Ovis aries: one gene and its partners. The protein of the gene in region 1 purifies or fractionates together with the protein of each later gene. This does not show direct contact. Links are inferred from orthologs where the notes say so. Each region holds a gene or a part of one and is shown on either strand. Other genes may lie near its edges.

Evidence for each region.
Region 2: the proteins of SNAP23 (region 1) and VAMP2 purify together in Homo sapiens (affinity purification with western blotting; 4 studies listed by BioGRID and IntAct, with this or other methods). This does not show direct contact. The link is inferred for Ovis aries from reciprocal best matches to the Homo sapiens genes SNAP23 and VAMP2.
Region 3: the proteins of SNAP23 (region 1) and STX6 purify together in Homo sapiens (affinity purification with mass spectrometry; 3 studies listed by BioGRID and IntAct, with this or other methods). This does not show direct contact. The link is inferred for Ovis aries from reciprocal best matches to the Homo sapiens genes SNAP23 and STX6.

Annotation. Positions count from the first base shown.
Region 1 is NC_056060.1:36,077,185-36,080,832, reverse strand, and holds part of SNAP23 (synaptosomal-associated protein 23), read right to left. Parts: intron 3,210-3,648; 5' UTR 3,163-3,209; coding exon 3,106-3,162; intron 2,542-3,105; coding exon 2,500-2,541; intron 2,099-2,499; coding exon 2,050-2,098; intron 1,338-2,049; coding exon 1,220-1,337; intron 1-1,219. UniProt on the Homo sapiens protein: Essential component of the high affinity receptor for the general membrane fusion machinery and an important regulator of transport vesicle docking and fusion.
Region 2 is NC_056064.1:27,613,912-27,617,659, reverse strand, and holds the start of VAMP2 (vesicle-associated membrane protein 2), read left to right. Parts: upstream 1-1,243; 5' UTR 1,244-1,345; coding exon 1,346-1,347; intron 1,348-1,851; coding exon 1,852-1,972; intron 1,973-2,438; coding exon 2,439-2,597; intron 2,598-2,690; coding exon 2,691-2,742; intron 2,743-3,304; coding exon 3,305-3,321; 3' UTR 3,322-3,748. UniProt on the Homo sapiens protein: Involved in the targeting and/or fusion of transport vesicles to their target membrane. Major SNARE protein of synaptic vesicles which mediates fusion of synaptic vesicles to release neurotransmitters.
Region 3 is NC_056065.1:61,536,508-61,540,255, forward strand, and holds the start of STX6 (syntaxin-6), read right to left. Parts: upstream 2,234-3,748; 5' UTR 2,007-2,233; coding exon 1,972-2,006; intron 1-1,971. UniProt on the Homo sapiens protein: SNARE promoting movement of transport vesicles to target membranes. Targets endosomes to the trans-Golgi network, and may therefore function in retrograde trafficking.

The DNA of each region.
Region 1 (3,648 bases):
TAAAGTCACTAAAATGAATGAATTCTTTTTTTGTCAAGTATTATCTCATACACTATACACAAATATTTGAAGACTTCTCATTTCCTAGTTTACTAGAGGCTTCAAATCCTCAGCCTTCTTTGATGTTTCTTTCTTCACATTTGACACATAATCAGTTGGCTTCCCTGGTGGCTCAGCTGGTAAAGGTCTGCCTGCAATGCAGGAGACCCAGGTTCGATCCCACCCACTCCAGTACTCTTGCCTGGAAAATTCCATGGACAGAGGAACTTGGTAGGCTATAGTCCATGGGGCCATAAAGAGTTGGATATGACTGAGAGACTTGACTTGACTTTCTTTCTTTTAGTTGATTTAAAGAGAATCCGACTTATACTTTTCTCTCTAATCTTAATGATAAGGTTACAGCTCACAGGCCTAGTTTACAAAAGGTTCCTAACTGGTCTCCTCGTGTGCAGTTATATCCTCCACTCCAATCAATCAACCCCCTAGGCTGGCATTCAAGTTCCTTTACTGCCTACTTATGTCTTATTTTTCACTTTTTCTCAATGTGAATCATGTAGTACAGTTGAGTCAGGCTCCTCTGTAGTCTTTATTTACATTAAATCTTCCACAGGAAATGTCTTCCCACTTTTGCCAGGCCCATCCAGATCTTTCTAATCATTCAGAGCCCAACTCAAGTCCACTCTCTCCTATAAGATGAACTCCAAACTAACTTTTAGTAGTTCTGTACCCTTGGCCTCCACTGATATCATAGATCTAGCACCAGATTTCTATAGCTTCTACTTTCTGCTATTCTGTCTCATTTATCCAACCACATGCTAAGTCCTTTGATGCCAAGATCCAAGTCCTTTATTTCCTTGGCCATCCCTCATGTGCCTACCACAGAATATATGTTTTATTAATTCTCCTTATTTGAAAGGAAAAACACACTAATTTCATCCTGCTATGTATTATCCAGATGGATATTTCCCAACCTTTTCATATTATTTAAAATGTAATTGGGACTTGATTGAAAGATTGATCAAATTTAAGTGATGGTTTTCAGTGAGTGTGCCTATTTACATAAAAAGTTTGATATGCCTGAAGGAGAAAGAGATTAAGTTGATCTAACCAAGTTCTTTATTTAGGCCCTGGAACACTTCCTGGGGGATGAGAGGGGGGTTCTGAAGGTGATACTCTCATTTTAGATTTATTTGAAAAAGATTTTGATTTATCAACTCACCTACTACATGGGCATACACAAAGGCCACAGCACTTGTTGAGTTCTGTTAAAGTCTTCTCTGCTTCTCTCATGTCTTTGTTTATTTGGTCCATGCCTTCTTCTATGCGTTTTAGTTGTTCTAAGAATAAGTTGTGGAAGTTAAATTTTATGTTACATTCATGCTGCCAATCAGAAAGTGCTATTATTAGTATAACGGAAGAGCAAACTTTAACCTCGAATCCACAAACAATTCATCACAGTGACTATATCAGGGCCAGATGGTACTATATGCTGTCCAGAATTTAAAAGTCTTTCACATACTGATCCTAGGGTATCTGGCCTCTGAATGTGGAAAGATTTGTTCTAAAGAAATGTGTATAACAGGAGCATGTTGAGGATTGGCGTAGGCCTCACTAGACCAGATTCCTAGCATTTCTATTACTGAATAGGCTCAAAACCTAAAGACTGTCCTAAGATGAATAAAAACTAGACCAGATTGCTCAGGGCCAAATCAAATGCAAAGTTTCTAATTCCACAAGGATGTAACTTGATTTCTGAAAATTATGAAAGAATATCATAATGTCCAGGACACAAATGACCAGTGCACACAATAAGCCCTGCTACCTAATAAATAAATACTTGGTGGACAATGGGATATTGTGACTCTCACCCCAAATAGGCATCAAAACATGATATAAATTAAATCAGAAGAAAAGAAGCAAAATATCACTCTTATCTTACAAAGGAAAGGTACTCCCAAAGGCTTAATTAATTTTAACTGTGGCTGATTTGAAAAGGCTTTCTGGCATTCTAAATCAAATCAAGAGTTCCTGCCAATGACTGCAACTCACCCCCTTGTTCATCCAGCATAGTGATAGTCTTGATTCCTGCATCCTGCGACTAAAAGAAGGGGAAAAAAGCTGATAGTACAACCAAACCAAACCAACAGAAACAAAAGTACAAGGTCTGAAAAACAGCAAGGAAGAAACATTAGAAACTTAAGTTCTCAGAGGATTAGAAAAAAACTAACCTCCCCAAACCAACACACCTTAACATATTAAGCCCCCCACCCCGGCCAAATAATTAAGTCACAAACTCATGGTGAATTGTTTTCCCTGTTATATTCCAATACTATCAATTAGAAAAGCCAAAAAGGCCCATTAGTGCATGGTTTGACAATTTCAACAATTGCCGATTTCAAATAATAAAGCTTATTGATACAATATTAATTCCAGTCTGTGTTATCAGAATTCCTTCTATACAGTTTCTATACTTAACTTGATGATTAAACACTTTCTTACCTCAATGGCTAAACCCAGGATTCTCCTTGTACTTTCCAGAGACTAGGAGAAAAAAAGAGTTTTAGCATTCTAAAATATGTAGCATATCCCCGCCCTCCAAATCTGATCACAGGCCATATTCATGATGCTACTTTATTTTTAAAGATTGCTAGCACATCCATTCCTCCCTTCTTTAAAACAAAAAATAAAGTTTACTAATTTAATTTTCATTATTTTATTTCTACCAGATGCTTAAGAGAAAATTTGAAAGAGTATAGTTAATGGGATTTATAAAAATGTAATGTAGCAGAAATCCAGGGATATCACACAGATATTAGAAAATTTTGTTAAAATTAAACAAACAGAATTCTTCATATCTATCTTCGTTCTAAGTTACTATTCAGTAATGACTATTTAAAAAAAATCATACAGATTGTTTGCACTTATTTAGTTTTTTGATGAGCTGACAAAATAAGAAACTAGCAGTAATGGCACTCAAGGGCAAATGCATTCTTTGATATAAACAGACTAGGGAGAGGCCGAAATGGTCTTCTAAGAAGGTCCTCTCATGCTTCCACTGTGAAAATTGAAAGAGAATTAATGACCTATTCCAAGTAAAACTTTTACCTCATCAGTAACCTGGTTAGCCCTCAGCTGAATTTCTTCTGCTGACAGATTATCCATGGTCAATTAAAATTCTTGATAGGTGCAGAAACTGAAATGTGGATATTCTGTAAGAATAAGAACACAAAAACAAGCTTATTTGAGCAAAGAATGTGGAATTTAGGATACTTATCTAGAAAACACGATAAAATAAACCTAACTTTATCTATCTATCTACATCTTACCGGTGAAGAAATTAAGACTGAGAGATGGTAAACAAATGTTAGCTAGTACTAGAGCTGAATCTAAAATTCAGGTTTCAGGACTTTCAGGGAAGCATTATTTCTAATAGGAAAGTGGTCCCTCTACTTTGAGAAGGAAGGCATTATTAAAACACAAGCTTCAAGAAGCTATTAAATATCAGAGAAATGCAAATCAAGACCACAATGAGAGGTACCATTTCACACCAGTCAGAATGGCTGCGATCCAAAAGTCCACAAGCAATAAATGCTGGATAAGGTGTGGAGAAAAGGGAACCAACCCTCTTACACTGTTGGTGGGAATGCA
Region 2 (3,748 bases), on another chromosome or scaffold:
CTCTTGCCTTCGCCACGGTTTCTATAACAGGGCCACTGGGCCTCATTCTTCACTCTTGAGGCTTGTCACAACCCACCGGACAGGCAGCTCATTTACACCCATCGCCTCCTTCCTGAGGGGCCACTCCTGCTGGAAAGAGCACGGTGGGTGGGTGAGAGATGCTGGGCCAGTTTAGACGACCTAAACAGAGACCAGGTGTGGAAAGGGCTGTGGATAATTCCCTACCATGTCTTACATCTAGACATTTAACAAATATAGGTATAGACTCGACACACCTAATACATTTTGGGTCTAGAGGTAGGACAGGAGCTGTTATGTCACACGCATGAGGCTAATCCTTAGGTAAAGTAGTACCAAGTCCCTGCGTACCGCAGGTGCCGCCCTTGCCCACTTACTCTCCATCCCGGTAAAGAAAAGCCAAAACAAAACAAAATAAAACAAAACAAAATGCGTAAGCCTTGTCCTTTAGCCCTGTGCCTGGGATCAGAGGTTGAGCCCTCTTCCGGCTGCCAGGGTAGCTACTCAACTCTGGGTCAGAGCTAGGTTTCTGCCAGTCTGAAGCCACCACATGAAGCGGCCCCACAGGGCAGCGTAGTGCCCTTCTCCCGGGTTCCCAAGCTTGCCCCACCTCAGACAGGCCTCGCCTGCCAAGGAACCCTGGTCTGAACCTCAGTTGCGAGGAGGGGGTTGCTATCACGGTTCCCAGACCTCCTTTTGGATAGCCACTCGCAAGGCAGAGGGTTGAGGATCAATTCCCACCACTCCCAGGATCCCAGCTATTCACACTGCCTCCGACCTGCACTTGCTCCTTCTGATTTCCAACCCCCCTGCTCCTTCCAAATGCTCAAGGCTGCTCAACCCGCACTGGGACGTGGGAGCAGGCTGGGACCTGGGGCTGCGTGGGGTGCGGACAGGTTGACGGCTTTCACCGAGGAGGAGGATGTGTTTGGGGCTGAAGGGCGCCTCAAGGGCCAGGCGGTGGGGGCAGGGGGACCGCGAGGACCTCGGGGAGGGCTGGGGTCAGACCCGGTGGGCTAGTGGTGGGTGTAGGGAGCCCTGCCACCAGGCTCAGGGTTCGCAGGCAGCGAGGGAGAGGCTGGGGCCAGGCGGCGCCGGACCCGCCACCTGGCAGGCCGCGATCCCCGCCCTCGGCGCCCCGCCCCCGCGGCCCGGCGGCCGACTAGTGGCCCGCCGCGCCCCGCCCCCGCCCGCAGTGCCCGGATGTGGGTGACGTGCGGCCGCCATCTTCCCGTCCCGGGCAGCCAGCGCCAGTCGGAGCCAGCTCGAGCCTCCGCTGCCGCCGCCATCACTGCCGCTGCCAAGTCCTCCGCCCGCTGCCCCCGCCATGTGAGTCGGCGCCCGCACCTGCACCGCCTGGCCGGCACTGGCCGCCGCCCTTAGGCCCAGGCCTGGGGAGGGCTCGGGGTTCGACTCGCGTCCCCCACGCGCCCCGCGTCCCGAGACCAGGCCGGCGCCTGTGACTGCGCGCGGGCATTAGGAGAGCCCCGCGTCCCGGGCTGGCCGCGCGGAGGCTGACCGCGAGAGGGGGCGGACTCCCCATCTGGCCGCTCCGCCTCTATCATCGCTGCTGGGTCCACCCCAGACCGTGTCTGTGAGGTCGCCCTCGTTTGACAGGCGGGGAAACTGAGGCCCGAGGGGGAGGGGGCCTCCCTCAAGGTCACGCAGCAGCTCGCCCGCGGGCCCGGACGGAGGCCAGGGCTCGCATCGAGTGGCTTTCTACCCGGCAAGAAGGAAGGGAGGGACGGATGGAGGGACAGGCGGATGGGCGGAGCCCTGGCTGCGGGGCCAAGGGCTGCAGGCCTTGGTTCTTAATCCGTCCCTGCCCCTCAGGTCGGCTACCGCTGCCACCGCCCCCCCTGCCGCCCCGGCTGGGGAGGGAGGCCCTCCTGCGCCCCCTCCAAACCTCACTAGTAACAGGAGACTGCAGCAGACCCAGGCCCAGGTGGATGAGGTGAGTGGAGGTGGTGGTGTCAGAAACAGTGGGAAGGACCCTGAGGGTTGACAAACCGACACGGGGGTCCATTTTGGGTTGGGGGGTGATGGCAGTTCATGTTTGGGTACGAAAATATACCATGGCCCGTCCTTGTCAGCGTGCAAGTATGGGAGGGCCCGTGGGGATGTTGGCCTGGCTAACCTGAGGTGTTTCACCCTGGGTGGATGCTCTGGTGAACGGAAGGCTGCTTGAGGCTCAGTAAATAAAGAGTGGTGCTGTGACATCTGAGCAGTGTGGATACCACATGCCCCTGCTGTGTGCTGCTTGCATTTCTCTGGTGTGCTAGGCATGTTCTGTATATGTCCTTGGCATGTTAGCCAGGCCACATGATGCCTGTTCCCTGTGTGAGCTCATGGTGTGTGGAGGAGTGCCCTTTGAGATGGACCTTGGCACACACACCGCTGCCTTGTGGGCCTTCCCTCAGGTGGTGGACATCATGAGGGTGAACGTAGACAAGGTTTTGGAGCGGGACCAGAAGCTGTCGGAGCTGGACGACCGTGCCGACGCCCTCCAGGCGGGGGCCTCCCAGTTTGAAACTAGTGCAGCCAAGCTCAAGCGCAAATACTGGTGGAAAAACCTCAAGGTAAGGGTGGAGGCAGGTGGGAGGACAGGGAGGAGGTGGGGGGTGAATGGGAGTATCCTGGTCTGTCTCACTGAGCCTCCCCCTCACCCCCAGATGATGATCATCCTGGGAGTGATTTGCGCCATCATCCTCATTATCATCATCGGTGAGTAGGGTGGGAGTGGCTAGGGCCCTTTCATGGAGAGGGTTCCCCTGCGGTTTCTGGGTTTTGAAGGTCATTAACCTAGATTTTAGTATTTAGGAAAAAGTATATATGGTTGCCAGTAGCAGTTCTGATTCATCTAGAGCCCCAAACCTTGAAGTTGTTTAGCTTGCACTTTGCCTGATTCTGGGCCATTTCTGTTAAGATTTTCAAAAACAGGAAGAGCATAATAGACTGGGAACCTGGAATTGGGGAGTGGGAGAGCAGCAGAGACTGAGGGGCTTGAGAAACAGCTGGGAAGCAAACCACCCCATTGTTTGAGAGCTGTGGTCTCAGAGGATTAGGGATCTGTGGCCCCAAGGCCATACCATGGAGTTGAGGAGATCTGGGAACCAATCTGTGTAGATTCCTTGCTTTACAGGTGAAGAACCTGAGGCCAAGAGGGGAAGGGATGTCACCTAGCTGGGAGGTGGGGAAGGTGGGAGCAGGGCTGGGCTGACACACTGCTTTCTCTCTTTCTCTTCCTCCCTTCTCCGTCTTCTTCCTTCTCTTTCCCTCTCCACAGTTTACTTCAGCTCTTAAACCCCTGAGGAGCCTGCCCTGCCCAGAGAAGGGCCTCTCCCCCCAACCCCCAGCCGCTCCTCCACCTCTCAGCCATATCTTCCAGCCCCATCTCCCCCGGATCCGTGTGTGTGTGTCGTGTGTGCGCCCCCTTGTAAATAGCCAGCTGTTATTTATACATATATAATATTATATATATTTGGTCTGTTTGTAGTTTTATTACTAGAAGATTTTTTCCAGTTGTCCTTAACACCCCTTCCTGAGGTTCTCATCACTTCCTTTTCCTCTTTCCCTCCTTCCCTTTCCCTCTCTTCTTGACCAACCCCAAGTCTCCTTCATTTGCATCTGCTATGCAATAGTCCCTCTTCCTCTCCTTCCCTTGGATTTAGCTGACCCTTCCTCCCACCCTGGCCTTCCCCATACCTCCACCCCCACCCCCCACCCTCAC
Region 3 (3,748 bases), on another chromosome or scaffold:
CAAGACCTGCTACTACGTCCAAAGCTTTTCCAATTGTAACCTGTCCTAATGGGATGCCTTTCTCCAAACTACTAGGGGACTTAATCATCTGTAGGATTCACTTCAGCACTTAACCATTTCCACCAGTCATTTCTACTTAATTATTGGGTGACTTGTTTCTCAGATTAGACTACCAGCTCCTAGGCTAAAGGTCACAATTTAGGCTTCTTTCATTTTTCCACATCATGCAGTGAGTGTATTTTCAAAACTTTTAATAAACAGAGGTACATGGCTCCCCATATATTTCACCACATTATCTGGAGACATGTAGTTAATTTTACTTCTCCATAGCAAAAGGTTTTAATATCTTAAAGATATGAGCTAAAACAATGTACAAGTCAAACAAGACTCCTGACCAATGTTCCAATAAAGCAGTGATATCTAATCAGTGAGCAAGCCCTGGCAAACTGTACTATCAGGAAAAAAAGTCAAGATGGCAGAGCAATTTAGCATTTTCACAAATTCCATTTTAAAATGAAACAAAAAATTTTGATTATCTACAGCCTCCACTGCCAGACATAACCTTTGAAACCTAAGAATTAAGAATGTTTAAAGGAAAAACACACAGCTTTCACATTTAAAAATTAACCCCTAAAAAAAAATCAATTCTTCTAATAACATTTTCCAGGTAGAGATCTATGTATTATTAATCATCTAAACTCAGATTTTCCCACCTAAAGTCAGGTAAAGGCAAAAATATTTAGGGAAATGTTAAAATATATATAAATGTATCTTACTGTATCATGGATAATAAAGTATTTCACCTAGAGTATCACTTAAATTTTCTTAGAAGAACCTTTAAAAAAAAAAAAATCACATACACCCTCAAGCAACTGGTCAGCTTTTACCCTTACAGAAATAGAAATAGGGAGCTAGGAACTAGCTGAAAGCAAAGCAGTACTTTAGGGTGATTAGCACTGATCTCTCAGGAACTTTGCAGTTCTCAAATTTTTAACGTGTTTGACATTTAAAACAAAAGTTGTAACAACAAGATCCATCTTCCCTGAATTTGTTTAATGGCTACAAAGCCTATGTAACAGAGTGCCAAGTTTCTGGGTATCTGCAAACAACTGAGCAATCAAAGATGGAGTCACGACAGCTCACAGAGAAAAATAAGTTTAAGGCTATTCGAGTCTGAAAGGCAGAGGAAGAAATGGGGGAAACCTGTCAAACAGCCTGGATGAAATCAGGGAGTTAAAAAGCAAGCGCTCATTTCCTTTAGCACTGTGGGAAAAACCCAGTGCTAACAGAAAGCTAAGGAAAGTTTAGTTTGGCTGATTTCATTTTGTTTTCCTTCCAACATCATCACTGAGTTTGAACGGCTGCTTTCCTCCCCTCCCATTACTCAGTAAAAACTCCCCCACTGAATTGAGTCGTCTTCCGGAGCCAGGCGCCCCCGCCTCCAAGCCTGCTAACGTGCTCAGACGCCTCTGGGCATGTTGTGGTCTCACCAGTCTGCGGGGCCAGCGCTCCGAACTCAATGGACAATAGGAGCTCACCCCCGTCTACGCCAACTACAAAGCTCAGGAGGGCCATTTCCCTTTTCCTGCCCAGATGCTGTTTTTCCCCCTTCGAAGCAGGGCCCCGTGCTCCACTAAAGCCCCAGTTTGGTCTGGGACGCCTAAGCTCCCTTCCCACCTGCAGAAATGCTGAACCCCTCCTCCCGTTCAAACAAGTTATAGGGCAGCGCACAGGCCAAAGGGGACCCCCTTCCCAGGGGCTTGACTGGGGGCGTGGGTTTCAAAGTTCAGGTAGGACGGGAAAGGGAGGTCTCTGGACACTTGATCATGGCCCTCCAGGCTAAGCCGTCCCCACTGTCCCCACGCCAGCCTCTACTTGCCTCCCATCCCCCCTACAACGAGGAGAGGCGGGGAGGTGCGGGCAGGCAGCACGGCCACCGCCTCTTCCAGTGGAGCCCTCGGCAACACTCACCCTTTCACCACAAAGAAGGGGTCCTCCATGGACATGGCGTCCCGGCCCCCGGCCGCCTCACGTTTGCTCCGCGCACAGGGCGCCCGCGCCCTCCAAATTTCCCTCTGCCCACCCTATGCGCCTCGCGTAGCGGCCCGCGCCTCGGCCTGAGGGTCCCGAAGCCTCTGCGCGCGCAGGGCGGGGTGCACCGGCCAGCCGCTGGTCCAGCACTCGATGGGCACTGCAGACCAAATCCAGACTCTGGAGCCGGCCCCGCGGCTGTACCCTCCCCCGACTCCTCCCGGAGCGTCCGGCCGCCTGGCTCCGCCCCCAGGTTCCTCAGCCTCGGCCAATCACGAACGCCATCCGCCGCACCACTTCCGCACCCGTGCACACGTGATCACTGCCGACCCCGCCCCTCGTTGCCGGGTCCTAGGCACCTTGTCACACGACCCTGGAGGCGGGGCTCTGGGGGCGGCGGAAGAGGGCGGGTATTCTCTCCACTCGCCCCTCAGGATTCAGGGGCCGGAGCTGCTTGTCCCTACGCGGGAAAGGCATTCAGGTGTCCTAGGTATGCATTAGTATCTCCTTTGCATAATTCTTTCACCTTTCCTCTACTTTTGATACTTGATTTTGAAAACATATTGATTTAGAAATCCATCTCGTCCTCCACTTACAATAAAGCCTGCTCGTATACATTATCTGACTATATTGCACAACTTTATGTAGGTCTTACTATATCCAACAATGCGCTGAAGGCTGTATGTACATCATCTCAATATTCTTGGGGGGAAGGTATTATTACCATTTAGTAGATGAGAAAAGTTCAAAGAGGCTTCGAGATACAACCTGGACAGGGCAATCAGAGAATCTGTGCACTTTCCACCAGACGGCTGTGTTTTCTATTGCTGTGTACCTTTCTCGAAGTGACCAGTAAGATAATTTTTTCATACAGCATGTGATGCTTCCCAGGAGAAAGAACTTTTGAGGGACAAAGGAGGGGCCAGATATGGCAACTTCTTCTGAGCTAAATGGTTCAAAAGCACTTCCCAAAAGTATTTTGGTCAGAACAGTTATCAAATTCATATGCTAGATATGCTATGGGGTTTGTGAACATTAATTGCTGATTATCTTTGAGCACTTCCTGTATGTCAGGCACTGTGCGAGTGTTATCTCAGTTGCTCTCAGGAGGTAATTACTGTTGTTATCCCCATTTTACAAATGAGAAATCTGAGACTCTTGCAGGTTAAGTGACTTGCTTAAAGTACCAGTCTTTTTGGAGATGGAAGAGTCCTTTGAACCAGACAAATCCTGTTTGAACCTGAGTTCTGTTATTCAGTCCCTCATCTATAAAGCGTGCACAATAATATTTAGCTTGTGGATCGTTGTGAGGGTTAAATAAAAATGCACGGAAACCCCAAGGCCCCAAGGAAGTAAGGCAGTGAAGTCAGGGAAACTAGTCTGGAAGCTGCTGTGGTCATCCAGCCTGAAGGGCTGAGGACCAGAATAGGACAGCAGAGCAATTGTAAATGGAGAGGAAGCAGACAATCTGATAGGTATTTCCAAGGAAAAACAAAAACACCTAGACGTGGTGAAAGGCTGAATGGGGTTAAGGGGGAGAGAGGTGAAAATCAGACTCCAGGCTTCTCTGAGACCCTGGAGGAGCAGCTGAAGGAGGTCAGATGTAGGGGAAAAGAAGCTGTTGGAAGAGAACTGTTTTGCTTCTGAACATATTGAGATGGGGAACTCAAAAGGGATCAATCATTTTTCATTCATTCAACAAACACATGGAAATTGC